4 linked regions of the Rhinolophus ferrumequinum genome follow. The protein of the gene in region 3 interacts with the protein of the main gene of each other region in a pairwise test. Links are inferred from orthologs where the notes say so. Each region holds a gene or a part of one and is shown on either strand. Other genes may lie near its edges.

The links.
Region 1: the proteins of PRKN (region 3) and TOMM70 come close enough for resonance energy transfer, tested with the Homo sapiens proteins (3 studies listed by BioGRID). The link is inferred for Rhinolophus ferrumequinum from reciprocal best matches to the Homo sapiens genes PRKN and TOMM70.
Region 2: the proteins of PRKN (region 3) and SYT11 interact in binary tests that used the Homo sapiens proteins (3 or more experiments, as listed by UniProt). The link is inferred for Rhinolophus ferrumequinum from reciprocal best matches to the Homo sapiens genes PRKN and SYT11.
Region 4: the proteins of PRKN (region 3) and RGS2 interact in binary tests that used the Homo sapiens proteins (3 or more experiments, as listed by UniProt). The link is inferred for Rhinolophus ferrumequinum from reciprocal best matches to the Homo sapiens genes PRKN and RGS2.

What each region holds. Positions count from the first base shown.
Region 1 is NC_046285.1:29,616,663-29,624,371, reverse strand, and holds the start of TOMM70 (mitochondrial import receptor subunit TOM70), read left to right. Parts: upstream 1-4,688; 5' UTR 4,689-5,123; coding exon 5,124-5,453; intron 5,454-7,709. Other genes in the region: LNP1 (leukemia NUP98 fusion partner 1), read right to left, coding at 4,274-4,342. UniProt on the Homo sapiens protein: Acts as a receptor of the preprotein translocase complex of the outer mitochondrial membrane (TOM complex). Recognizes and mediates the translocation of mitochondrial preproteins from the cytosol into the mitochondria in a chaperone dependent manner.
Region 2 is NC_046305.1:536,888-543,942, reverse strand, and holds the start of SYT11 (synaptotagmin-11), read right to left. Parts: upstream 3,019-7,055; 5' UTR 2,745-3,018; coding exon 2,711-2,744; intron 1-2,710. Other genes in the region: GON4L (GON-4-like protein), read left to right, coding at 6,610-7,055. UniProt on the Homo sapiens protein: Synaptotagmin family member involved in vesicular and membrane trafficking which does not bind Ca(2+). Inhibits clathrin-mediated and bulk endocytosis, functions to ensure precision in vesicle retrieval.
Region 3 is NC_046286.1:103,102,094-103,109,273, reverse strand, and holds the start of PRKN (E3 ubiquitin-protein ligase parkin), read left to right. Parts: upstream 1-4,159; 5' UTR 4,160-4,305; coding exon 4,306-4,312; intron 4,313-7,180. Other genes in the region: PACRG (parkin coregulated gene protein), read right to left, coding at 3,578-3,733. UniProt on the Homo sapiens protein: Functions within a multiprotein E3 ubiquitin ligase complex, catalyzing the covalent attachment of ubiquitin moieties onto substrate proteins. Substrates include SYT11 and VDAC1.
Region 4 is NC_046310.1:5,165,055-5,172,071, forward strand, and holds the start of RGS2 (regulator of G-protein signaling 2), read right to left. Parts: upstream 3,020-7,017; 5' UTR 2,976-3,019; coding exon 2,860-2,975; intron 1,853-2,859; coding exon 1,751-1,852; intron 1,643-1,750; coding exon 1,581-1,642; intron 1,019-1,580; coding exon 852-1,018; intron 572-851; coding exon 377-571; 3' UTR 1-376. UniProt on the Homo sapiens protein: Regulates G protein-coupled receptor signaling cascades. Inhibits signal transduction by increasing the GTPase activity of G protein alpha subunits, thereby driving them into their inactive GDP-bound form.

The sequences.
Region 1 (7,709 bases), on a different chromosome or scaffold from region 3:
GACAAAACATATAAGAAGAGATGGGGTGGGGGGGGACAGAGACATCTAACCTGATAGGAATTGGACGGGGCCTAAAAGTCTTTGAGCTTGAGAATGAAATTGGAGTTGTGCTTTGGGAAGAGTAACCTGGTATCAAGGAGCAGAACTATACATAGAAGAGAGGCACCAGAGGCTAGGAAGCTAATTCAGCATTCAGGAAAGATGAAACAAACGGAAAAGAGAAGGGGAAAAAACTCCTATTTATTGAGCACCTGTTATGTATTAAACATACTCTTAAATGTTTCACATATTTGAACTGGGAAGTGACAGGGGTCATGAAAAGGAAGAAAAATATTTAAAAAGATACTACAAAGAATCAGCAAGACTTCACAGCTGATTTCGTGTTTACATATGTATATTTTGGTATATCCACATGTGCTTGGGTGGGTAGGGTTGGAAAAGAGAAACGTCCAAAAAGATGGAAGGTTTCAATTATTGGCAACCAGTAAGGTAACAGTGGTATCATGAGAGGAAAGAAAAGGGATTACACAAAGGAAAACAATGAGAAAGGAAGATGAGTCACATTTTTTAAAATGAGGCATCCAGGCAAAGTTGCTCAGTAAGCAGTAGGGAATTATAGGGCTAGAGGTGAAAGAGATGGCATTCCAGATGTGTAGATAGAGATTATCTTCAGAGAAATTGTCCTTGAAGCAATGAAATTGTCCTTGAAGCAATGAAGAAATTGTCCTTGAAGCAATTTGGTTATTAATGGAGAGACTGAAGACAAAGAGGACAAATTCTTAAGGATTCCTATATTTGCAGATCTAGAGCTGTGCTGTCCAATATGGTAGCCACTAGCCACACGAAGCTACTTAAATCAATTTAAATTAAAATGAAAAATTTAGTCAGTCACACCAGCTATCAATAGCTATATGTTCCTAGTGGCTACCATATTGGACATCACAGATATAAAGCCTTTCCTACATCACAGAGAGTTCTACTGGACAGCATTTATCTAGAGATTGGTCAGAGAGAACAACCAGGAAAATTTAGTCTCCTGAAGCCAGGGAAAACGTTTCAAGGAGTGAATGAGAAATATCAAGTTCTTCAATGAAAGCATATGAAGGCCAAAACAAACAATAAATTTAATGACCTTGAAAGCCATTTCAGATTAGTAATAAACTTAGAAACTAGATTATAAGAGATTTTGGATAAGATGGGTGATAAATAAATAGAGATAACAGGTGTAGACAACTCTTTCCAGTAATTTTTCAGTAAAGAAAAACAGAGAGAAATGGAAGCCTAAGGAAGCGTTGAAAGAGAATCAAGTTGTGTATGTACGAGCTTAATATAAGCATGTCTGTGGACTCACTGAAAGACTTAGATACCAATCAACCAGCTATCCACCAACTTTCGGAAAACCTTTCCTGTAGCAGTGACAAACAATTGAGGGGATAGAATCACAATTTTAAAGCTATAAGGAGCTTTAGCAAGCATTTAATCCATTGGTCACATTCTATAGAAAGCAGAGGTGCCCATAGTCACAAAGCTCAGTGGTATTAAAATTTAAGAACTCAGGTCTGCATGTCTCGGTTAGACATTTCACCTCACTCAACTGCCTCCTAAGATACAGACCAGAGAAGAGATGAAAAAAGCTTCTTCTATTGAGTTCCATTCATTTGGCAAAAAACAAAACAACAACAAAACAAAACCAAAAAAAGGAAATGTCTATGTTCACATATACAAAACTTTGATTTTTTAGGATGGAGACATAATTTTCTAACTTCTATAAAATTTAGGGAAAAAAAGAACTAAGCATTGTCTACTATTTTATAACAAACATTACACTAAAAAGACCTTAAATATTATTGAACTAAATCTTGAATATAACCTGAGAGGTGTGTGTTTTCGCTACTTGACAGCTTAGAAATTTATGCACCAGTTCAGAAAGGTCTAGGGCCTGCCTGCTGGCTCAGGTGGTTGGAGCGCTGTGCTCCTAACGCTGAGGTCGCAGGTTCTATTCCCACGTGGGCCAGTGAGCTGCGCCCTCTACAGCTAAGATTGTGAACAACGGCTCTCCCTGGAGCTAGGCTGCCGCTGTGAGCAGCCCAAGGTCAGTGTGAACTGCCATGAACTGCCACAGGCTGCACGGGCTGCTGTGCGCTGCCCTGAGTGTCTGGCAGCCATCATGAGGGGCCGGCAGCTGGCTGCTGTGAGCGGCCAACCACCGATCAGCGACCGACTGCCTCAGCCGGGGGGAGCGCAAGGCTCATAATACCAGCATGGGCCAGGGAGCTGTGTCCTACACAACTAGACTGAGAAACAATGGCTTGAATCGGAGTGGGGGGTGGGAAGGCAGGAGAATGGGGGGGGAAGGTCTAGTGACAAAGCTAGTGACATTCTTACTCAGTTCTATACTATATAATCATTTAGGAAATGATAGAGAAAATGGGAGAAAAGAAATTAATAGGCTCAGGAATGGAAATGGAATATTTAACAAAGTATAATATAAAAGTAACAAGAAAGAATTCATTTACTGGTGCCGATCTTAATAAAATCCAACCCTTTAGTTAAATATTAGTTAGTTCAACAAACGGAAACTCTAACACTGATTTCCTTTGGAGAGGGGAACTGGATGGCTGGGAAATAGGGGTTGGAGAAGGACTCTACAACTTTTGGATTGTAACCATAACAATCTGTTATCTCTTCCAATAAATAAGTTTTTTCAAAAACTTTAAATGTTTTACTTCCCACCAACAGTTTGTAATTACTAGCATTCTACAATCCCCTATGAGGCTGCAGAAAAGAATGGCAATTTCAGGAAAGAAAAATGTTAACTCTGTTCTGAAAGGCAAGGTAGAAAATACATGCCCAGGCAGAAGACTTGCTTTGGGGGGTTGGGAATCAGGACAGGAGAGAAGCCATTTGCCTGCAACAATTAGTATATGTGCAGCCAAAGCCGGCACTGCCTGCAATCATTACTGTTTGATCAATTCAATTCTATTTCTAACATTTTCAGCTCATCTCTTCAGTCTGTTGCTAAGGAACCCTGTTGCCTGAAAGCAATTTACTGATAGGAACTTACATAAGCAAGAGAAAAGCAATGATCCTGAAACTTTCAAATTACGCCATTCTAATTTAACCCATCTATTTTTTTGCCACTTATTATCTTTTATGTAGTGCTACCGTGATGTTGAAAATCCTTCGATGTATCCCAAAGGTAAATGATCACTTGTACATTTTTTTTTAAAGCAAACTCTTTTTTTTTTTTTTTTTAAAGATTTTATTGGGGAAGGGGAACAGGACTTTATTGGGGAAGGGGAACAGTGTGTACTTCCAGGCCTTTTTTCCAAGTCAAGTTGTTGTCCTTTCAGTCTTAGTTGTGGAGGGCGCAGCTCAGCTCCAGGTCCAGTCGCCGTTGCTAGTTGCAGGGGGCAAAACCCACCATCCCCTGAGGGAGTCGAACCAGCAACCTTGTGGTTGAGAGGACGCGCTCCAACCAACTGAGCCATTCGGGAGCTCAGTGACCCCTCAGCTCAGGGTGCCATGTTCAATCCTAGTTGCAGAGGGCACCGCCCACCATCCCTTGGGGAACCCAAAGAACCGAACTGGCAACCTTGTGGTTGAGAGCCCACAGGCCCATGTGGGAATCGAACCAACAGCCCTCTGAGCTAGGAGCATGGAGCTCCAACCGCCTGAGCCACCGGGCCGGCCCCACTTGTACATTTTTAATAGAAGGGTCTGCAGACCTGAAATGGGAGCCATAGTCCTAAATTTTGATTCTCTATTAATACTTGTCTTTTCTTCTTTAAAATACTATGAATTTTAAACAATTCTTGGCAAAGGAAACTTTCCTATTTTAAAAGGCCTAGTGACAAAGCTATTAGATATGTAATATTAGGTTGGAGCAAAGGTAATTGCGGTTTTTGCAACTTTTAACCTTTTAACCAATTCCTTTTGCACCAACCGAATAGCTGTGGATTGAACTTTCTATCTGAGGGCTGAGGGAAGTGGGCTGAGACATCTGAAGTAAAACAAGCACGGCCGTGGGCGGATCACAGCACTGAGGAAGGAGGGGGCGAGTGCTCCAGGGAGCGTGGTGTGGGCTGGGGTGCCAGGCGGAATCCAGTAGAAAACACAAACCCGTCAAGGAAAGGTGGGAACTCTGGGTCTTTCACGTTTCTACCCACTGAATTCGAGAACCTGGTAACAACACACAGATGTCATCGCTTTCGCAATTGGTGCAGACCGGGAGCCGCAGGGACCACATTCAAGCCGTCTCAGCTCAGCCAACCTGGATTTGCCGATTTCCATCCAGTCTGATTTCTGTCATCTGCCGTTGCCCCAATATCCTCAAAATCATCCAAAGTAAAATTTGGCCATGGTAGAGATAAGATTGGTGATACAGCACGCTATCTTCAGCTTTGACGTCTTTCCTCTCACATCTTTAAAAGTCCTTCCAATCCGCTGGTTTGCAAGACACGCGGAAAGAGAACTAAGCTGACTGCCGCTGGACTCTAAGAAGCGCCAACGTGGCGGTAACTAGACAACGAGTATCCAAATTCCACCAATAACCTGGGCAGTTCGGCCTATGTCCCGCCTACTACTCCTGCCAGCCAATAACGTTCACAATTCCTCTGCCAGCCCCGCCTATTCCTAGGGCTGCGGTGGAGCCTACGGTCTGGTCGCCTGCACACCGTAAAGCCCGCTGTACACGCGCAGCTCCTCGGCTTCGTTAGACCGGAAGGCCCTCTGCCCTTTCCTGAAGGTCCAGGGAACGAACGTCATCTGCCACCACTGGAGGCCCAAGACCCCAGAAGTTAATCTCACCAACCGTAGCGGGGTGAAAGCAAATTGAAAAGGCTGCCCAGGACGCCCACCTGACCCCAAGTGTCCCTCAACCGGAAGTGATTTTCTCCTCTTCCTCCTCCCACCCACGGTTAAGAAGGGAGGAGAAGGGCAGCCAGGTCTGGCCCGGCATGCCTCGGGCTTCCGGTGACCTCTGGCCCTTTTCTGTCGCACGCTCTGCTTCCTAGCGTGCTCGCTCGCTCACTGCCTTCCCTTCCTCCGGTTTTCCTTCGCGCACTACCTGGTGACTGTGGCGCCCGCGACCGGCAGAGAGGCGGTGGCGGAGGACACCCGTCATGGCCGCCTCTAAACCTATAGAGGCGGCGGTGATCGCTGCGGCTGCGCCCGGCTCCGGGAGTGGGGTGGGCGGCGGCGGAGGTGCGACCGCGGGCCCGGGCGCTGGGGGCCTGCCGCGATGGCAGCTGGCCCTGGCGGTCGGGGCGCCCCTGCTGCTGGGCGCGGGTGCCATGTACCTGTGGAGTCGGCAGCGACGGCGCCGAGAGGCCGGGGGCCGAGGCGAAGCCGGCGGCCAGAAGCGCCACAGTGAGCGGAAGACCCCGGAGGGCAGGGCCAGTCCGGCCCCGGGCAGCGGACACCCCGAAGGCCCCGGTGCTCACCTGGAAATGGTGAGAAGCAGCGCTGGGTCATGGAGGTGGAACCCAGCGATTGCAGCCTTTCCTTGATGGGTTGTGCCGGTCAGGGGGCTTCCCATCAGACGGCAGCACGTGGGTTTAGGGAGACTCGTGTCTGGCTACCTTTATAGGGAATGGAGTAGCCGGAGGGCACAGGCTAGCGGGCTTCTTTGACAGTTTCCTTTTGGTTTCAGAAAAATATTTTTCTCAGTGACACAGCATTTATCCCTAGTGTTGTGGGTACGGTGGACATTTGCAAATAGTGATGATTGTGTTTAATTAACTAGTGAAGGAAGCCAAATTCCGTTAACGCTTAATACCTGGTAACATGAATTGCTTTGGTGATATCCAAGGCCTAGAACTTAATCGGTAATAACCTTTTAATAACGAGGCACTCCCCTTTTTTGAAGTGTTTTTGGTTGACAGTAAAAAATGGTGTTCATTGGCATTTGTTTTTTCATCTGTGAGAGTGCTTAAACATTTTGGGTAGAAGCATCTTCAGTTCCATTTTTCATTTTACCTGGAAATTGACATGACCAAGGTTGACATTGGTGAAACAGATTCTCTGATGTTAGGAGAAGCATTGGAGAATCTGGTGAAGTGCTTTGTATGCTTTTGTTGAACTATTAAATCCTTTTGGTATCTTAACAGCTGTGCAGGAAATTGGCCAGGCTGCATTTAACAATGTAGGATGGGGTGAGAGAGAGGGTTTTATCCACCTCTGGGATTATACAGTGGTAGTTACAGAGTAAATCAGAGGTCAGAGAAACCACTGGTCAAATAACTCCTAATTATATATACATTTGCAAGTCATTTCCACGTTATACTATTCTGAATGAAGACATGTTTTCTTACTAAGTAGTCAAATTAGCTTTAAAGGAAATTTTGATGTGGGAACCAACTACCATAATTTAGTACATACTATATGTCAGTCATGGTCAGTCATGAGAGAGCCAGATAGTTTTTCTAATAGAGTAAAACAAACATTGCCCTTTTTTTTTGATATAGAAAATATGCATTACACTATGGTGAAAGAACACATGATCTGTGCGAACTAGGAGATGTGTGCTTTATGTTGGGCTCTCCAGAATAGTTACCTTGGGAAAGTCATTTTCTCTCTCCGGCCTTAGTGTCATTCGGTAGACTAAGTATTAAAATACTAGATTAGACTGTTCAGCCCTAATGGTGATTCTGAGTTGCTAACGAGAATGGTAATCATGGGCATTGTTTGAATTAGTCATCACTTGTCTTACGTCATTTTCGTATGTCTGAAATTCTCTGGTCATTTCCTATTTCATTTGTCAATTTAGTTTTAATCACAGAAGAATAAGAGATGAATGAAAAACACATAAAAGTTCTGTTATATAACAATCACCAAAAATAAAGATAGCTTCTACACATGAAACGAGGTTTTGACGTTTCATTGAAGTTTCAAATACTACCCCATCTCACCCATTTGGTATTTGATAGAATTTAGCAAACTTTCTTGCAGATTTTAGATTTCCTTAAATCCCATTTTCAGTTTTTCAGCATTGTCTGTGTCAACACTGATGATTTTTAAATTTCATGTGTTTTCTAGTTTTATCAGAACAATTCTTAAGTTCACCTGACTGCTATTAAAAATTAGACCTTAAGAGTAACTTCTTTGTGTGCTCGAACTGCTTTAAAATGATTTATTTTTGACCCAAAATAAAACAGAGTTAAACACTTGTACATAGTGTTGTACTTGTGGAATTTGTGGGCTTTTACCTATAATCTTGCTTTGAGTTACTAGGTGATTTTTTTTAGTAAAGCGACAATAAGAATGCCAATTTTTTAGTGGAAATTTGTATTTTAACTGTTTGTGACCAATAAATACTAAAAGACTTTTTTTATGGTCTAGTCGTTGGAGTTGTTATTTGACTATCTAAATATAATTTGTTTATTATCTGTAGTTGGAGAAATTGCTCTGTATTTAAATAGCACCTTTAAGTTGGCAACCTCAGTGGATTTTGTAATTAAGGAAGCATTTGTTTGAACTAATGGAAGAACTGGCAGAATCCTGATGCCCTTATTGTTCTTTCTTCACTTGAACGATAGCTATAATTTTGAAGGGAGTGAAGGAATAGACATATTGTCAGCTTAGGGTTCATTATCAGTGAATAATATGGGAAGATCAGTGGTTTTTGTCATTTGACTTATGTTTGCCTTTATGTAAAATTAACTAATAAAACTACTGGATTTCTCTCTTGGGTTTGAGATTTTCATGTG
Region 2 (7,055 bases), on a different chromosome or scaffold from region 3:
TCATCAATCAGGGACTTTCCTGAAAATTGTTTGCTACTGATTCATGAAACTGAACATTGGTTATCTCCATGAGAAGAGGAAAGCAGGGGACTACCAAGACAGGTATATTTTTGAGACTTATTCGAAAGGGAGCTCCAAAGGGCCAGGTTGGGAGATAATCTGCGTGACCCTTTTGGCTCTACCATAAATTTACTCTGTGATCTTGAGAGAACCCACTGCTGCTTCCCCGGCCTCAACTTTTAGTATTAGAAAATGGAGGTGGGGTGGGTAAGAGAGAACATGAAGGATTCTCACCTGTCATTGGTCAGAGAAGGAAAAGGAGAGAAACGGACAGATCCATGTACTGATCACCCCAGAGCTCGCCCCCACCCCACCTTATTTCCCACCTTTGCCCCACTTTCTTCTGTATTTGAGTGTTGAGATAAGCCCTGTCTATCTCCCCCATACTCAAGGCAGTGAAGAAGAAGAATCAGGGATGCTGAAACTCAGAACCCTTTGTCTTGCTTTCGTCAAAAGCTCGGTGGGAAAAAGAACTTGGACCTAATGGCTGAAATGTGTTTCAAAGTAGTTGTAAATTGCAGTGACGGGGGCTGCTTGCTCCTTTTGTCCTCCACGGTCATGGAAAATGGAGTGTTGGCTTGGTGTAGCTCCCAAGGGCTATGGCATTTGAAATGAAGTACTCTGGGACACTTGAAAAAGTCAGAAGTGGAAGTTCTCTATGTGGGAGACCCTCTGTACAGGTCAAAAGACCTGCACGACACATCGGGACTATGCCCAACTCAGTCAGCTTCTGATCTGACCCGTTATTGACACTCCCTTTATTAAAACAGCCTTTTCCTGTCAAGGTGGCCGGTGTGATACAGTGAAATGAGAATGATCTTTGCCATCAACTGGATATTGGTTTAAATCCTACCATCACCTCACTAGTTTCTTCGACTTTATTGTATCTCCCTGAGCCTCAGTTTCCTCATCTGGCAAATATATATAATACCAACACCAGAGGCTATTTGTAAGGATCTAATGAAATGTAGTATGTAAAAGGCTGATATAATTTCTTTTCTCTTTTCCACTAATATTCCCTCTACAGGAAATCATTACATTAAATTCACACCATTCACTTTCCAAGGAACTTGGGACTGCAATTAGAGAAGAAATATGTTGGCAAGAAGGCATAAGAAGAAAAGGAAAGAGCAGAAAGAAAATCATGGAGGGCTGTGCGACCGCAAAAGGGACATGTTTTGGAAATTTGGGACTGAAAGAGGAACGAAGCAAAAGGTGAAGGGGAAGAAACACCATAAAGATTCAGCCTTGGGAGTCCGTGGGACGAGTACTTAGAGGTGTGATCTGTTGTCTGCAGACTCTCCCTGACGCCATGTCCTCTCCTGTATTCTCTGGATATTGAGGGAGTTTTGCACAGAGTTCTGCTCATTTCCACGGACCCCTTACTGGGCAGTGAGAAAGCCATTTGCTGGTGGGACTGTGGCCCCACCCTAACCTTCCAGATTGTCTGAGGGTTAGGATCTCTTAGGGGTATGAAGGAACCCTAGGCTGACAGCACTCAGACTGGCTTCTACCACCCGAACTGGGGTCGAACTGACGGAGAAGCTGGGTAATTCTTTTTCGTTTTTGCACCGGGAGAGGACAGCACAGGAAGTTTGTTGCCCTAGCCTATTTTGGGGGAATCTCCAAAGGGGGAAAAACTTGCTTCTCGAGCTTTTCTTTCCCATCGTCCCCCTATTTTCCACTCTACTCTGCTCCAGGGAATGTAACGGATCTTGGAGCCCATCGGGCTGGGTCGGGGACCAGCGGCGCCGAGATGACGTAATGCTTTCTCTGGTACACAAAGCGGCCTCCCCCGGGCTCGGCCTCTCTCGCCCCTCCCCCTCGGGCCTGGATCGGGCCCCTGCCAGCGCCAGCGCGGGTGAGTCCCCCTTTTTGAAAAGCCAGCAAGCCAGCCCAGGGAAACAGGGAACAAAGGCCCGGGAGGAAGCGCCTAGGCGCTGCCAGGAGGCCCAGAAATAGACATCACGTCATCCCCCAGCCCAACAGCACCAAGCGCCATTTGGAGGCATCGGACGGACCCACCATTACGGTGCAGAATACAACTTGCAGTGCTCACGTTTCCTCCCAGCTCCAGCATCCGGCTGACCGGCTTAAGGAGTGGCTTCCTTTCTGCTCCCCACCCCCGCACCTCTCTCCCCAGAGGCCGCCGCCTCCCCTGGCTGCTAGCCACACAACCCCCAGTATCCAAGCTGCCATCTTGATGCCCCATCCCCCTTGCCACCTCCCTCCCCCGCATCCCTGAGGAGTAGGAGAGGGAGGAAGGGGCACCGCCCTGCGTGCCCCAAGGGGGAGGGCTCGGCCTACCCCACCTCTCCTCCCCCAGAGGGAGGGGTTCACGTCTTCCCGAAGCTCGCTGTTTTTCACCTCCAGCAATGCCGATGGTGCACCACGCAAGGTTTTCGCATCGTGGACCTCCCACCCTCTGTGTGGCTCTGGCCTTCCCAGCCCTGCAGCCCACAGCTCAAGTTCAGGCGCTGTCCACTGCCCGCTACTCACCAACACAGGCCCGATTCTAGCGGGGATGGCTTTTGAAGGCCCTGGTCTGGGCTCCATTCCCTGTCCAGCTGCTGGGCTCTCCTGGCTTTGCAACGGTGTCGACTACCCCAGGCTTAGTTTACCTCTTAAGATGCTGAAGGGCTGTACTTACCAAAGCTAGGTCGGATATTGGTGATCTCAGCCATGTCGTAATCACAGGTTATCGCTAGAAAAATGCTTTTGCAGCGGTCAGACAAACTCTGGGAACCCCCGGTCAGTACGGAAGCGGCCGCTGTAGACTGCTAGGTCAGGGGAGGGGGAAGGTATCAGGCAGACGCCTCCTGCGACGGTCTGGTCCCTGGTTGCCAGCTGCGGTCTCCTCTTAAGATGCTCCAGGGATGCTCTGAGCTAAGGATGCAGGTGCAGGCAGACTGGTCCTGATGCGAGGTAGGCCCCGCCTTCTTCCGAACGGCCCTCGGCAGGAGACTCCGCCTCTGTCCGAAAAGTTCCGGAAGGCAAGGCCCGCCCCTTTCCGGAAGATCCCCGGGAGGGGACCCCTCCCATCGCCGAGATTGCCTAAGAATGAGACTCCGCCCACTGACAGGCTGTGGGTCTATAAGGAGAAAACCCTGAGGCCTGAGTAAGAAGTGTAGGTACATTATCATATGAGGTTCTATAGATCCTGTGATTCCAGTTCCCTGGGCTTAATATAGCAGCAGAATGTTCTGGGTGCCTAGGATTTTGGAATAACAAAATTCAATGCTGCTTGCATTTCAGTATCCATTGCCATTACTGTTATGCATTTCTGAGACCACTAAAGGTTATAGGAAGCTTTCTTAAACTTAAGAAACTCTAATTAAAGACCAAACCTTGTGGTGGACACACAACTCTAAAAATTTACCTGTAATAATTTAATTCTATAAGTAAAACGGATGGATTTTGTGGTGTGGTGTGTACATTAAAGCTGTTTTTATAAAAAGACTAAGGAAGAGTGCCAAAGTTAGTGTTGGATATGTCTCTTCCAAAAGTTTCAGGAGCTTAGGGCTGCTTAGGAGGGAGGGGAGAAGAAAGGGGGGGGGTGACGGGTCGGGGGGAAGAGCAAACCAACAGATCTGTATTCTGTAGGTTCAAAAGCAGGACTCAAATGAAACTCCAAGCTTCCAGAGACTGTCTTGGCATTTGGGAGAGTAAGGGTGGTGCAGGTAGAGTCAGACAACTGGCAGGTTGTCCATGGTTCCATCAAATCACTCTTCATTTTGACTGTGGATACTTTTCATCCTGTCGGATTCTGTTTACAGACAGGATGGGGTCAAACAGAGTTTTAAATGGATAAATATCTATTGGTGGTTCATCTGTAAAATGAGAGAGTTGACTATTTTTCCAGCGTTGACATTCTGTCCTAGAAGAGCGGAAAGAACGCGGTTCTAGGAGTCATTTATTCGTTCAAAACACAGGTGTTGAATTATTGAACATCAACTATGCCCCAGGCACATTCCCAGGTACCAGAACGATGCATGAGAAGAAGCTAGTTAGGATACCTGATTCCCCTTGATAGCTGTGTATAGCTGTGTGAAATCACCTTCCCACCTGAGCTAGAAGTTTGTCTTGTGTAAATTGGAAGGTTTAATAATATCCATTGTCCCATTGGGTTTATTGTGAAGATCAAATCACCTATGATAATGTAAGTGAAAGCATTTTGTAAAATGCAGAGTATTATACAGATATGAATGATTACTATGGATTGAGTCCGAGACAGCTTTATTCAGGAAACTGCACTGCTTGTAACCCAGGGATTCCTCTTTCTGAAATTTTATGAATTCTCCACTTCCTTGGTCCCGTATTCCAGGTGTCGCGCCGCGAGAAGGATTAGTTGTCTAACTAAACCACTGAATCTCAACCCCCAGTTTTGTTTTGAGTAGGATCGCTCCATGGACCGAGAAAGCGAAGCGTTGCCTTTAAATTTCTTTTTGCCAGCAACTGACGCGCTAGTCTTTCGGCTTCATTCCGCCCTTACATAGGATGGCGCCTCGTGGTCTGCGCATGCTCCTCGACGACCTGACGCCGCGCACCGCGACTCGGGGTCGCGCACGTAAGTCGCTGCCGTTGGCTGACTTCCGGTGGTGCCGACACCGAGTTTCCGCGGGATCAGGCCGGCTGGTGAGCTCACTGGGTCTTGTGCTGTGGGGCGGGAAGATGCAGTGGGAGCTGGACGTTCCGGCGAAGCGTGGCCGGGCTGAGGGCGTCCGGGTCTGAGGGCTGGGGCGGGGTCGGGGCTGAGGGCAGGCGCGGGTCTGGCGCCGGGTGCGTGGTAGAAGGTAGTGTTGTGAGGGTGTTTTGCTGGGAGTGGGGACTTGGGCCAGGGCTCTCCGCTTAGGTCGACAGCGCAGTTAGGGTCCCTTTTTGAAATCTTTTTCCAGGAGGGGCCCGCCCTGGGCTGCGTCTGGATTCGCATTCATTCACTGTTGGTCTGACTCGTGTCCGAAGCGGGGGAGGGGCGTGGGGGGGGGCGCTGTTTAGAGCTAGTGCTGTGTTTTCAGTGCCTGGAGCCCAGACCTGTGCGCTGCTGACTGGATGGTGGCTGCCTCCTTTCTTCCCCTTCTCCCCTTTCTCCCTCCTTTTCTGGACCTCAGTAATTCATCTGTGAAACATAGGACTCGCCTAAGCTACTCCCTTCCCCACTCACCACCCTCCCTTACAGGGATCAGCGGAACCTTCACGTGTTTACTGAGCTTTAAATATCAAGATAAGGGCGTTGTTGATGGGGGTTTGGGGGGAGATCTTTCCTAGTGTCCTGGGGAAACTGAGTTAGGGAGGTTCAAGACTAACCTTATAGTTCAGACTCTTCGCCGTTAGAAAGAACTTGGTTTGGCAGCCCTCTGGTCCATGTTTTCATCTGGTGCCCTGATAGATGGGCGTTCAGACTTTCATTGAACATTGTCAGTGATGAAGACTCACTGTAATACACGGCAGCTTATTCTATTCTTGGACCTATTTCATCAAGGAAAGATTTTTTGGGGGGTAGAAAGATGCAGTTAGTTTCCACATAATGCTTAACTCTTGCTCTAAATGTTGCATAGGAATAAGCACTGAATAGGAAATTCATGCCCTCTTTTCATTCATTTATTCAGGGAATGTTCATTGAGCATCTACTATAGGGCAGATACTGCTGAGTAGTAGTACTGGTTGAAAGAGTCGTTCTCTTGAAAAAGTGCATAGTTTTGGGGAGAGAGGAGATGGGAAGAAGACAAGAAGCAAATCACAAAAGTGATATGTGCCATCAAAGAGATTTGCGAACAGGTGCTATGATAACGTAAAAGAAGATACTCTCCAGTTTAGGTTAGCGTTGCCTTCAAAATGTGATCGTTGGAATTGAGGGCGAGAGTCCAGAAGTAACACTAGAGAGAACAGTAGGAATCTCTCTTGCTTTCAATATGAAATTTCTGTTAACATGGCCTAACCTCTTCAAACAGCCACACTTTGCTTTTGGATTGTTTCTGTTAATGGAACTACCCCTTTATGGAAACAACAACAGAAGACATTTATTGATCGAATCATTTACTATCTCATGATGTAAGTGCTGTTTTTATTTTATAGCTGAAGAAAGTGAGCTTCAGGTTAGGAAACTTACACAAGGTCACAAAGCTGGAGAGAAGCTGACTCGGGAAACAAATCCAGACAGTTTGACTCACAGTTTGCTCTCAGGATCATGCTGTTCTATCCTCCTGATGGTAATAATAATAACGAACACGTACTGTGTAATTATAACAGCTCTATGAGGTAGCAACAATTATTTTTTACAGTTGTGGAAACAAGTTTAGAGAGGTGAAGTCCCTTGGCCAAGATAACTTACTGATCAGTGGTAGAGTTAGGATTTCAACTCAGGCCCTCTAACTGCTGTCTCTCAACTCTCCCCTAACGGGAGATTGTGTACTTGGTGTGAAGTCCTGTGTTCATGATTGAGCACGAGTAAGTGAAAAGATGCGTGAGGAAATCCTATTATCGTAATTAAAACGAGGGTGATAAGAAGCTGCTTTTACCCTTTCAGGATGGAACCAAAGTAGGACTTTAAAAATGTTGCCCGGTAAGAAGAGAAGGACTACGGCGACTGAATCCCCACATCACCAGGGCAACCAGGAGGAAGGTGACGTAGCCCCAGAGTCAGCCGTGAAACCAGAATCGGACCAGGTGGAAGACTTGGGGTCCGTGTCTCTGTCCTGGGGTCCAAGTCACGGCAGAGCAGCTGGCCTTGAAGTCCAGTCTGTGCCGGCAGGACATCAGCTGGGTGTGGAGGGTCTGTCTTTGAGTTCTAGGGGACTCAGCCAGGACACAGGTGCACCCGTTCCGGAAGCTGTTGATGCGGCCACCTCTAAGGGACTCACTGTCCCATCCTCGGAGTCTTCCCAGCCCCTTACTACACACATGGGGAAAGAAAACCTCCACGCCACTGGCTCAAGGAGAGGGAAGAAAATGACACTCCGGCCCAAGGCAGTTACCCAAGAAGACAGAGGTGATCGTCC
Region 3 (7,180 bases):
GTAATGAAATGCCTCAGGTTTTAGCTGGACACAGAGCTAACAGTCAGAGACTACATTTCCCAGCCTCTCCGCAACTGGAGGTGGCCATAAGACGAAGTTTTGGCAATGAATGTGAGCGGCAGTGACGAGTACCTTCTGGGACCTCCCTTCAAAGGAAGCTGCTTGGCCTCCATGACTTCCTGCCTCTTCTTGCAGGTTGCTCCTTACCTATTTTTTCCTTTTTTCCTGCATGAAGTAGGTGTTGGAGATTGTGCCCTTTTGGAACTACATAATTTCTTAGGCCTTTTCCTGATAGAGCATGTATAGAGGTCTGGAGTTGCTGCAAGCATCAATATCTCCTAGGCTTTTGCAAAAAGGGGAAAATATGGGCCTATGAATAAATTCTGTCCAGTGGGATGTAAATGAAAGTGGGGTGCAGTGTCTGGGTAATGCCCATAAAAGAAGTTCTCTGCTTTCTCTTTCCTAATTCCTGACAGTAGGGATTTGCCCCAGTGGTGGAAGCCCACTGGGATCCAGGGCACCATCCTATAGGATATGAAGCAAGAACATACATGCGTCCTATGTCCCTGGACCTACCTCATGGGGAAGCAGGGCCAAACCTCCCTAGATTGTGTACAGATTGGGACTTTTATGTGGGCAAAGCAACTTCCATCTTAGTTATTGTTATTTGGTATCTGTTATAGTATCTTAATATGTAATTTATAAATATTGACCATTACCACTGTGTGTTGAATGACTATATGATTGTAAGTATAAAAGTTTCAATATAAGAAAACTAATAATTATTATTTTTCCCATTCAGCTGAGCTTTGAGCACAAAACATCTATGGTCTATTGAAAAAGAAAAGAGTAATATAAAGATTAAATTGAAGTCAGCTTCTGTATCATAACCTTGGGTCCATATCCTAACTTGTTTATTCATAAAGTAGATTAATTAGCCTAGCACGCATTTGCTGTCTGTGGAGACGAGGCCAGTACAACATTGAGCTACCGGTCTCTAGATATGGGCTGTAGCACACCACAAACAAGGCCTTTCAAGGGAGAATGAATGGTGAAATCATCAAATTCTGTATCTCATATCACTCTTTTCAGGCAAACATTATAACAATATGAATTTGGATGTTATTCTCTGACTGCAGAACTTTTGTCCTTGCTTGTTTTCATATAGAATGCAACAACAATTTCAAGGAAGTAAAGGAACTACTTGAAGAGCAACAGTTGACATTGGGATTTAAAACACTAGCCATTTACATTTATTATTATTTTAGAAATAATTTTGCATTGCCGTACATAAATTATGCCTCTAAAGAAGGATTTCTGCTTGCACAGCTCATATGATTGAATCTGTTTATGATCAAGTTTGTGTACTTATATTACTAGAGCTCTAGCAAAGAAACAACAGGAGTCTCCACATAACACCTTAAGGTATAGTTCTCTATGTCTTTTGTGGAAGAGCACTGGAATGCTGACTTATTTAACAGGCAAGTGTTTGGAAGAGGAAACTGAAGGCAAGACCCAACACTAGAAAAACGGTTTGGGAGTTGGCTTTTGGAACAAGGGGTTGTAATTAAGAAAAGGGAGAAATCAGCATATTGTTTTCTGAATCAAAATAAACCTCAAAAACGACAGGCATTTTGACTTATAATGCCAAAAGGTCTAAACTGCTGCAGACAGAAGCGGTGAAATATAAATACTGGACAGGAAAAGAAAAGGGTTTTATTTCCTATACCATTGAAGTTAGTTTGTATAAAAGGTATTGTCTATCTTTCTTTTATCAAGATTTTCTTGTTGTTGGTAGTTTTTCCTGGGAGTAGTAAGGACAGGGGCTTTGTTTTGCTGATGCCAAATCCCCAGAACTGTGTTTAACTAGTTCTTAGCTTAAAAAGAAAAATGAGTTGTTGATTGAATGAATGAATGGATGAATAATGTTTGCATCTAAAAATTATTATTTCCACTAAATGAAGTGAAAGAATTATCCATCCTATTTTGAAGATTTCAACAGAGAATATTACACTACATAGATATTACACTATGAAATTTTCCCTAAAAAATATGAAAACAAGATAATTTATCTCAAGTAAGTTGTTTATAAAGAAGGCTGCTTCATGTTAAGCAGATTTTTTTTAATCTTGTAAGCATAGTTATTACATTTGGCAATACTGAAATATTTGATTTTCCAGAACTATGACTTTAGTGTAAAGCTATGTTTAAAAACATGATTATGAACAGAGGTTTATAAAAAGAAAGAATCTAACTAATATTTTTTACGTCTGTGAAAAACATATAACATTGAAAAGTCACTAAGATTTTAATCATAAATATTATGCAGAAGAAAACAAATAATTAGCTTGAACGGTTATGGTATTCTGTATTGCTGATAGTCATCTTTGAAATACATGCAAAATGACTGCAGGTACAACAAGCAGGAACTTTAGTCTATTTCCGATAATTTTAACTACTGTGAAGCAACTCACACACATTCCATAACCAGAACATCACTTTGTGTAGCAACCTGGAAATCTGGCCTAGGGGTCCTGAGGTAATCTGTTCCATTCATGTATTCTAAAGATGTGGTTTAGGAATAAGATATTAGGTTTGCAACATTTATGTAAAACAAATAATGTGACACTGGAAAGCAATAGTATTCATTTAACATAATGAGTTGCTATGCAATATGTTAGAGCCTCCCAGAGTGTAGATTATACAAATTTGAAAGCTGCATTTATTATTTATATCTCTTTCCCAGATAGGTGCTTACTCAGTAGTAAAACCAGGTTTAGCATACCAAATTTAAAGCTGTTCAGCAGATCCAAGGACTTTTTTTTTAACCTACCACACATGTAGCTAAACCATTTGTGTACATTTTAAACCTTTTTTTCCTTAGTAGTACTGAGAATATTTTAACTACCACAAATAATAGAAATGAAATATGCATTGTATTAATAGCCAGAGATACTGAACTAAAGCTTGCATTTAAAAAAAAAATATTATTTAAAAGGTCTGTCTGGAAAAACACTTCATATTAAGTTGCCTTGCAGTATTCCAACAGGCTGACACCATTTTGTCAGAAAGAATTGTCTTAGGGTAAATGTTAGGATATCCTGATATCTCCTCAGTTGAATTGATGAGGTTTTTTACTATAGATTATCTAACGAGTTTATGTTCCCAGCTGTACGTAAGCACATGTCAAATTTTGCGAAAGAGTTTAAGATTGCTAATGACTCACCTTCCATCAGGCCCTTTGCTGAGTAGGGCTAGTTTAGGAATCAGTAAGTAAAGTAAAGGGGGTCTTTTTGCATCATAAATAGCTTAAGAGTAATTTGGGGTGGTCTAGAAACCATGAGTTATTAGGAAAGTGCTTATAACGGGCATATCACTTGCTCCGAACCCTTTCTAACAACCTAGCCTGGACCTCCACACAATGTTGGGCACTGTCTGCCACGGGCCAAGTAATGGCGCTTTTTGGCAAAGCCCACCCAGGGCACGGGCTCAGAATCCATGCTAGGGCCGGCCAACCTCTATAACCTGGTGTCACCTGATTCGGAGCGAGGGCATTCAATTCAGGAAGATCACTTACGACCGAGTTTTTCATCATGGCTTTGACTGTGAAGCCCTCAGAAAGCAGGGAGTGAGGCTGGTGCACCGGGAGCGACTGTTGTGCCAGCAGCTTGGTCCTCTTCGGCATCTTGTCTGGGCATTTGTTTAAGCTCAGGGTCTCTTTTTCTGCCACCATCTTCCTAGAAAATGTCTGGTTCTCATAAAAACGTGTGGTAAAAGAATCAGTGGGTTTTACGGATGTGAGAAGGAGGTCGGGAAAAAATTGTAAAAAATTACGTTAATGGTAAAAATTCAACCCCTCGTAGTGCCCAGGTTGATCCAGGTGTTTGGCAGCTCCTAGGTGAAGGGAGTTGAAGGGAGGGGAGGGGCGGGAAGAGGGCTGGACCTTGGCTGGGGCTACAACCAGCTTCCAAAGCTAAATTTCCTGGTTACTAAGCGACGCGTCAACACTGAGGCCGAATGGCCGCACCCCGCCGTGACGAAAGTTTTCTGGGCCTTAAACCGGAAGAGCGGCGGGCGGCTGGCCGCCGGCGGCGAGCCGAGAGAGGAAAAGCTGTGTTAAAACTACAACTCCCAGAAGGCTCGGGGCTGCGCGCCGTCTGCGCGTGCGTTCCAGCTGCCAGACTCGGGGAGGGGAGTCCTGGATATTTTAACCTCCGAGAGAGAGCCGCGGGTGGGAGGCGCGCGCGGGCGACAGTATGCGCGTAGGCCCTTTCCAGCCCAGCAGTCTCCATCTGCCCAGTGACCATGATCGGTACGTGGTGCATGTCAGGTACAGCCTCTCTGCGCCGCCATGCGCCCAGCTGTGGTGCCACTCCAGGCCTCGGACAACGGGGATCCCTGGGTGCCCACCGGTGCCAACTGTCAGTGGCAGGGTGGCAGTGTCTGTGCTGTTCTCAGCCAGCGCCGCCAGCTTCCCAATGCCCGCCGTCGTCCAGCAGAATAAGTGTGTCTGTCGTTCTAAGCCCCGACTCCGCCCCTGGTTTGACAGGCTTCCTAGTGAAGACAACTTTGTGAGGGAACCTGGTGTGCGCCTGCGCGCCTCCCTAAGTGAAGGCAGGGTCGCGCGATCCCACAGCGAGCGCACTGCCCCCCAGACCCGTGGGGGTCCGTGGGAAGGCCCCGGGGAAGTACTTCCCCCCCCGTCGCTTTCCGTCCCTCGGGGCACCTTGGCGGCTGTCTTCCAGTTTAGGACAGACAGACGTTGTAGTCTGTACCCACTGTCTGTGGGACTCTAAGGGAAACCCTAGCGGAGCGTTAGACTCCAATGGAAAGCACCTGGTGATGATGGTTGGGCTCATCAGAGATGCCTTCAGAAGGATTTAAACTTCTGTTCCCTCGAATTTTTTCTTTTAAATCTCTCATCGGAGGTCTGAGATGAAAGAATAATTAAGAGTAAATAATAACAACAAGTAAACCTTTTTGCATGATGAATTAACGATTCATTATGCAAAATTATTTTTTTCTCGAACACAAAATGACCTAGGTGAAAGCTTTGGAAGTGGCTATTGGAATTGTTTATAAACACTACAATGTACAACATTAGCAAAATTCCTCTATTTCAGGATTGCTAAGCCAATGCTATTTTAAGGGTTATCTCTGAAAATTAGTGGGAATGTTTAGTGTGGTTAGAAAAGTTGCTTCTCAGTGCCCACCATGGTTTATTATTTCCAATAAATTTGGAAATTTATTGTGACAGAGACTTGCTCTAGAATATGTATCGGTTTGATGAGCTTATTTGGAGATCATGCCTGATGCGTACCATTTAACACTTTTGACTACAACAAGTGCTTTCGAAGTCAGATGTCGTCTATCCAGAAAGATGAGAGGTGGATTTTTTTAAATGTGTGATTTCTATGCACTGATAAGCGCTTCTTAAGTCTTTTATTTATTAAATTAGTGTTAACATGTAAAACATTTTACCTACTACTGGGTGAATCACACCAGTTAACGACACTGCCTTTGCAGCGATGATAGAAACCAAAGGATGTTGTCAGGTTTTCTTAATTTTCTAGCGTGGCATGATTTTTTCAAAGTTGCCAAGTTAAGAAAAATGTATACATTTTAATGAATCTTTTGAGTCTTTTTAGGTGACAGTTACACAAGATCCACTTGTAAGCACAAATTTGAATCAAAACCAAGTAGAGGAAATTTTTCAAAATCCTTGCTGTCAGTATTCTACAGAAAAAAAAGTATACCTTATTTTGAAGACAGTTGTGCAAATGTTATTTTAATTCAACTTAACTAGTGCGTGGAAAATTTTAAAAGAAATAAATTTATGGTAAAGCTATATAAAGACAGGGACCTAAGATCTAAAAATCATCACTAAATTCTAAATTGTTATCTAATAAATGGCTCTATAACTATTCGGATGAAATATGCTTAGGTAGTTTTGTTTAGTTTTTACTCGGGATTTCAGAACACAAGTGGGAAGAGTGATCTTTGGATGTGATGATTAGACAGCTCTCAATAACTGGCATTGACATGAAGACTATAAGGTGGATTTTTAAGAATGTTCTTTCTCATACTCCAGCTGTTCTTCATCACGCGGTGCAAGTAAGTGTGTTTTACAGCATAAATAATTAAACCCATGCCCCAGCCTACAAAAAGTACCTTACCCATAACAATCATGAGTACAGTGTGCAATGAATTATTTTATATAACTTGTTGTATTGCCTAAATCTGTCGGTGGGCACATTTTAATAAAAATCTTAATTGTCCGTTTTGGGCCTGGTTATGTTGAATAGTGGTAAAGGTAAGTGAAAATGGAAGCAATTGAAGGGAAGTCTTACAGTGATGGGTTTTCTGTTTCCATGACTAAACTTCGGAGCCCGGAAAGGCATTACAGCTTATACCCAGTGATCAGCTGGAGATCAAATTATATGTAACTATATATTGAGAATTGTTTTTTTTTCCTATTTAAAGACCTGTGCTACTCAGAACTTGCCCCTTTCATGCCTGTGCTCTTTTTAATTGCTATACCTTCTTTAATGCAGATAGTACTCTTCCACTTTATTTAAATCTTGGGTCACTTTTGAGGAAATGAGTTACTTGGTAAAATAGGAGTAAGGTATTGCCTCTTTACCAATAAAATTACCTTCCTTTTCCTTTTTAAAACCCAGATTTCCTTCTTGGCACTGCGACTGTTTCAAAAGCACTTACATTTCTCACTTGGATAATGATTGATATGTTAAATGCCCTGACCCAGACAGCTACAGAAACATAATTTAATTGAAGTCAGTGAAAAATTATGACTTTGTGAGAAGTATGGAGAAGGATTTCAAGATAATATAAAGCAGAATGGAAAAACCTTAAGAAAATTCAACTTAGGAAATATAACTTTTGGCATCTCTGTTAAAAATATATTTCAACCTTTTTAAAAATTAGCAATTTTTGTGTTTAAAAATTAAATTTTAATGGTGATATTTGTGGTATATTCTAAATCTCCTATAGAACTGGACTGGTATTTGAGTAGTATCAGATATTGAAGTGCATCGATATATGTGCAACATTGTTGCTAGTATTGAATTCAACCTCTTACTCTTTAAGAAGATTTTTGATTCATTAAAACAAATAATAATTAGAACATAGTCTCTTCTGTACCTTGTTTAACTTAACATCT
Region 4 (7,017 bases), on a different chromosome or scaffold from region 3:
AGACTGATTTGGGGGAAAGATGTACATCCAGCTGCTAAGGCCACATAATCCCAGACCTACTGATGGTAAAAATGCTTTTGGATCGAGAGTATTACACCGTCTGTTTCAGTCTCACATCCCTGCTTTTACGGTGGGAGACACACCATGCTCAGACCACGTTCTCTCTGTGTGCCTGCAGTCATGGAGGCCATCCCGACACATGCTGCTTCTGGACGGCGACGGGCTTCCCTGCTCACTACCCAACTTCGAATCAACAGTTCTGAGTGATGTTTCCCCAGCACCCAGGCTGAACTCAAGGGCAGTCTTTTGGGCAGGTCAGCCTTTCTCCCTTAGGAAAAAATGAAATGTCCTCCACGTTGGGGGTCCTGTGTGCATCTCATGTAGCGTGTGGCTCCGTGGGAATCTGTGGCTTTTTACACAAGTCCTGGTAGAATTCCGACTCCAAGAAACGGGGATAAGAGTTGTTCTCCATCAGGCTGTATACCCTTTTCTGGGCGGTCGTAAAGCAGCCACTTGTAGCCTCTTGTATATTTTGAGCAATTAGAGTTTTGGTTTGAAAGTCTATGTTTATCTGAAATAAAACACAAAAAGTGGTTTATTCTATATTCAGAGTCAGAGATTTAAGACTGTGTATTTAATATTTGCCAACAAAAACTAAAAACTATAATGCATGATTAGCTTCACCAGCCAAGTCATTGAAGAAACTTAATCAACTTAACTGAAAGCTAAGGTAAGAGAAAAAAACACTCCCCCCACTCCCAAGCCCTTTTAGTTTGACTTCAAGTCTTTTGTTTCGCTTTGGAGCTAACAATGTTCAAAACATGCTGAAAATAAGAACTTATTTTTCTTACCTCTTTTGGAGCTTCTTTTTCTATGAAGTCAGTATATATTTTCCTGGCCTTCGAGGACAGCTTTTGGGGTGATTTCGTTTTTTTGAAGTCTTCACAAGCCAGCCAGAATTCAATATTTTCTTCACAGAATTCAGATTTTAAAAAAGCCCTGAATGCAGCAAGACCATCTGAAGGGGGAGAGAGGGAGAAGAAAACATTCAGATTGTGAATGGAATGACCAAATAATCCCTTACATGTTTTCCTATAACTCCCACTCCCTTGCCTCTGTGTTTTCTTATTTAGAGATGATAGTAAATTCCTCGATATCACTCAAACCTGTAATCCTCAGAATTGAGCTCTTTAAAGACTAAGATGCCAGTAGACAAAATGCTTCAGCTGGCACACTGCTACAAAGATATAAATACTTAACTTTGCCATCAGTGGAAATATTCATAGGGGAGCCCTAAATTCTCTGGGAGCTAAGCCTCTTGAAAACCTTGTATGCAATGGAAAAGTTGACTCAATGTTAACCAAGAGCAACCACCACTCTAATTTTTTTTAGGTTAAGTTTTCTTTTCCCCCCTGAACAAAGCATGCACTTCCATGGGTAGACACTGGGGCATAAAGGCGAGTGTCACGATGACTGTCAAGTCAAATGGCATCTGGCAAGCTGCTCTTGTGCAGTGTGCACAGAACCTTTCCAGACTCCAGTGATGCTTGAAAGGGATTAAATTCAAGAAGGTAACTTACATTTACTGGCCAGCAGCTCATCGAAAGCCTCTGACCACAGCTGGGCTTCCTCAGGAGAAGGCCTGCAAGAGAAAGGGTGCACATCAGCTTACTCTTGGAGATCTTCAGAGTTCCCTTTTCCGCTCAACAGCTAGCTCGTCAAATTTGCAAGAACAAGATTTTCAACTTACTTGATGAAGGTTTGCTGTTTGCTTTTCTTGCCGTTTTTGGGCTTTCCAGGAGAGGAGGAATGTTGCAAGAAATAGCTCAAACGGGTCTTCCAATCTTTTAATCTAAAAAGAAAAGGGGGGGAAAAAAAGATTCACTAAGTGGCAACATTTGACATTGCTACAGCAGCTGATGGCATTTTTACCAAAGTCGCCCAGTAAATACAGACAAAACCAAATAAGACAAAACAAGAACTCTTCAAGTCACTCTGACACATTTAACATTTAATCGCTACACTTATGTATTGAACACAATTAGTTTCACCCATTCATCTGCACATAACTACTAGGTTTTATAACTAAGGGAAGGATTACCTGAAATGACTAGCATAGTGTAATGAATTTAGTTTGCATATAGTTCAAAAGGCAGATGCTATTTCTAGCCCGCAAAAGGCAGCAGTTTTTCTGCAACGTTCATTACAATCCGAAGGCATTTCACACTTGGTGAAACGGACAGTGGAGCTGCCTGGAGCCAGTCCGTGCTCACTTCCCTTCAGCCCTTGGAGCTGAGGTTCTGGACCAGCCAGAAGCTGTGTACCAGGAGGGCTGTGTGTGATGGAACCACCCACCTCCTGACTACAACATTCATGTAAGCGCATGATCAATTAAATCATAACATTAAAAGTAAAACGTGGATTTAAAAGGCATATCCGAACGAGCAAAAAAAAATCCCTCCAACCCTGTAGAGCTGTCTGTGGAAACTGATCAGAAGTGAAAATGCAGCGTATGAATGATGGGGACGCCCTTCAGCCCGGGATTCTCTGCTGTCAACTTAAATGCAGGGGGACAAAAACCCAACCGCGATTTTCTCAGCGCATCTACCGCCGCCTCTAGATCAAGAATTTTCTTCAGCTCCTAAACTCTACCCGACATTCCTTCACTCGCGGAAACTACCGACCACACAGATTTAATCTTACTTAGCAAATGAAGCTTTTCTACATTTTTCCCCCTGCAGAGGCGCAGGCTACATTGCTTCCTATTGTTTAAGACGAGTGCCAAAGCCCCGCGTTTGCAGCAAACCCAGAGAGCTAGGTCTGCAAGGGTGGCTGGGGAGAGAAGAACGCCGTACTCACAGCGTCCGCTTCATTTTTTCTCGCTTCTCCTCGCTTTTGGGTCCGCTGCTGGAGCTCTTGTCCATAGATCCGCAGTCGTGCTGGACAGCCAGGAACATGGCACTTTGCATTATCATCCAGCCTCCGGTGCAGCCGCTGGTTGCAGCTGGAGAGGCGCTGCGGTATTTATAGGACGAAGAGGATGGGGGCGTGGCCACACGACGCCGGGCCCGCCCCCCGAGGGCGCCTATTGGGCGGCTGCGGATGGGCCCGGGGGCGGGTCTGCAGCGGCCCTGCAGCGGCCACGGTCCCCGCAGAAAGGTCTGGAAGCCAGGGCGCTGCTGACGTCTGCAGCCCCGGCTTGTGGCGCATTGGGGCGGAATGTGGCGGCCGGCCTGGGCGGTGTGAGGCTGGCAGAGACCATTGGCTTTGAGCAGTCGCCGGCGACCTTGGCCAGGCGTGGAGGCCGGGCGGGGGTGTGGGCCCGCTCCAATCCTGCCATGCTTGCTTGGGCTGACCCCCAAAGGCATCTTGGAACCCTGTTGGAATGCACATTAGGAAAGGAACAGGAGAAAGTGACTGGATTAGACGACAGTGCTCTACTAGCTAGGGGTGCCTTCGTGATCACCACTAGATACGTGACAGTTCGTGCGACTGTATGCTGACTCCTCAGGAATCCTTGGCTGCCTCTCTTTCCAGAACAGAAATCACCCATGTGATGATGAGGTACAGGGAGACACCATGACCTCGGCAGCTGTAATGCACCAGAATCATTCTCGTTTAAGAGGGCAAAGATGCTGGGGTTCCTTGTCACTCATTTGTGGCTGTCTTACGATTTGCTAGAACACCGAAGAACTGGCGAGAGAGCAGGACGAAGAGGAGAGGCTAACAGTGTGCTTGAATACATTTAATTTGTTATTTCTTCAGAAGCCATGTCTGCTGTAGCAGGCTTTGAGTGATTGGACTGGTAAGGCCAAAGAGAGAACCTCACGTACAAAATGCTTGGATTTCAGATTTTCATTAGAATCGAACACGGGGATTTTCAAGTGCATCCCCCCTCAAGCATCTAAGTAGGCAGTAAGCTTAACCGCAAGGTATTGACGAGGCTGCAAATATTCTCCCTACTTTGCCTTAGAACTGTAAAAAGAAAATTGGAACTGGTTTAACAGATTCTTACAGTGAACTGCCCATAGTTGGAGCTCCAAGTTTGAAATGGAGGATAAGATCTGCAATTATTACTGAAGATGAAAGCCATGTACCTTATTTTGAAAAGAAAAATCATTTAGATTTCAGTAATAAATACTTTAAAACATGTTTGTGAAATGTAAAATTGTCATTTTTGTCATGCATATGCTCTTCATCTCTAGAAGAACACTGCTGAATATTTCCTACATCTAGTTTTACTTCGATGTTTCAATGTTTATTAAATATGGGTAATGTGCATACACTTGCTTTTTCTTGACAATAAACGCCTCAATGTATTTTTCACTTGGAACATTGAACAGTATAACTCTAATAATGGAAAGGCCAGGTGTTCTGACAAAGAAGCGGTTAGGAGAGAGAGCTGGGCTGTGTCACGGGCGCCAATTAGAATCTCAGCTTAGATAGTACATGCTAAGTAACCATTGGGACAATCCCATCACAGCCCCTTGAGCCCCAGTTTCTTATTTGTACCAAGAGTAACATATCTTTCTTGCCAACCTCATTATATATCATGTGGCCCTTATGTGAAAAGCCTTTGCAAGTTCTAAAATACTATACAAACGCTTGTTATTAATTCGCCTATGTAAGAAAAAAGAAGTATCTGGAAGCATAGCTACTCAAGGTAGAAAAATCATTAAAGGATTAACTCAAAGAGTTAATTAGTTTATAAATGTATAAGTACTATTAAAAGAGAAAGATAATGTCACAAAGAATTGTAGTTTCCAGCTCATAGATACTTAGTAAATGCTCTCTGGATAATAAGCAATACGGAAAATAAGCGAACTGTTTGACATTTAAACTTTTCAGAAATCTCCAAGTCAGAAAATTCAGTCATCTCAATATACTCACAAATGTAAATATACGTATATGAGTATATGTATACATGGAAGCCACTAGTTTAAATATATTCTAGATGGTTCAGTAAGTGTTTAATATAATGATAATGATTTGGTTTTTCATAAACCATTTCTGATTGACAACTGGTGTTATGTGGCAGAAAATTAATTTTTTTTCCTGAAAATTATGAGGTTGATTGATAAATTTGCATGTAATTTAACATTTCTTTGTCTATGGGCAATTTTAAGAGTTAAGCCAGTCTCCTCTACAGACTAAGAAACATTTTGGTGAAAAGATTGCCATGCTACTGTGTTTTTTAAAGACAAGCAGACCTATATTTAAAGCGAAAACTACAGTGTTTGATGACTTCCCTTTGTTTTTTTTTTTGTTGCAACTGGCTTTTAGGTAAAGGGGATTGCTCAATATCAAAATGACACATATTTTCCATTCTGTGGTGAAGAAAGAAACAATACAATAGGTTGTGAATATTACATAGCAAAACCACAGCTTGAGAGCGGCTTGGTAAACTGACTATATGTTCTCTATGTTGAATCTGTCATGCCCTCTACTGGAGAGGCTCTCTGAACACGTTAGTGATGGATGGAGGTTCTCAGGATAGTTCTTGAACTTTTTGCATTAAAAAAAATAATAATAAAAAAATAAGTTGCAGAAGAAGGCAAATAAAGTAAGACAAGTTTCTGGTCATGCCAAAGGGAGAATATGAAAAGCTAAAGTCTCCCCTGCTGTGATTCTTCCCCTCCCCCTGCATGCTAGCTCTTCTTAATCAAAAATCAGTATTATTAGCTAAAACTGTTTCATACTTACGCTTTAGAAATTTAGAAAACAAGATATATGCTTCATAAAAACCCCACAAAAGGATCATTCTGTGTATTTCTCTGTGCTTTGCTTGTTTTGGTCAGTGATATCTTCGTTCCTAAATTTGTAAGAGCTGTAAACCTATTGCTTACTTCCTAAATCTTAAATTGGTAGTTAGTTTTCAAACAGGAAAAGCAAACAAACAAACAAAAAACCAGGAAATTAAATACCACGTGGCAAAGGGGCTGATGAGTAATTGGAAAAAATGAAGACTGTAAATACCCTAATTGTTGACCACGTTTGAAGAAGTATAACACTTGTCTTGTTTCTCTGTTTTTCTTTTCTCCTTTGCCTTCTTCGTCTTATTGAATTTTAGTTGGTGAAATAGACTTTTAACAGAATGAATGTATACACGATTCTGTATGCCACTCTTCATCCGTGATAGGATCTGAAATTTAAAAATCATAATTACTATCTTTCTTAGAATGTAATTGGCATCCCCAGAAGCTGATAAGAGAAAAAAGGTGAGTGCTTTTGTCAGGAATGAATCAGAGTTTCAACCTAATACCTGACACGTATGATAGAGGAGTTAATAATTTTCCCAGTGTTTGTGTGGTTTATTCCTGGGAGAGCACATCTGTGGTTCTGCCTTAAATTCATCCATAGTGTGGAGTAGGTCACCCTTCAAATGCAGGCAGGGCCACTTCAAGGTCAGAGTCCTGACCTTACTGAAGCATCTGGGTTCTGTTTGAAAACCGACAGCAGGCGCATCACAACTTTTTTGTTTTTCCCCAAATACAAATACTAACATATATTGAAACTCCTGTAATAGGTTTCTGCAGTTACAGGACCATAAGGGTGCAATCTACGCTGGGGAGACTGTGCCCAGCATATGCCAGTGGCTGCTCACCTGCGACAGTAGACTACACAGAATCTCAGGGGTGAGCAGGTAATTAGAAATGCTTTCTTATAAAATAAGTTACCTGGAGGCACATTGCAGGTATAAAACGCAGAAGAGAAGCAAGGAATTTCTTCTGCCTGGGATTTTAGGTTCTGTGCACAGAATTTTGTCAAATCATTACGGTGCCAAATGTCCTGTTGACTCCCTTTTTGGGAATTTTGGGATATTGGCTTCATGATATACAAGATTTCCAAAGGTCTATACATGTATATCACTCACTGAGAGTCTGTCGTTTTTTTTTTTTCTTTTAAGTTTGAAGAAGGGCTGCTTTTCTTCTAGTAAATAAGGAATCTCTTTGCACTGGTATTTCCAGTTTACCTACCATTCCTATGTAGAGAGTACTAATCCATTTTAGACATTGA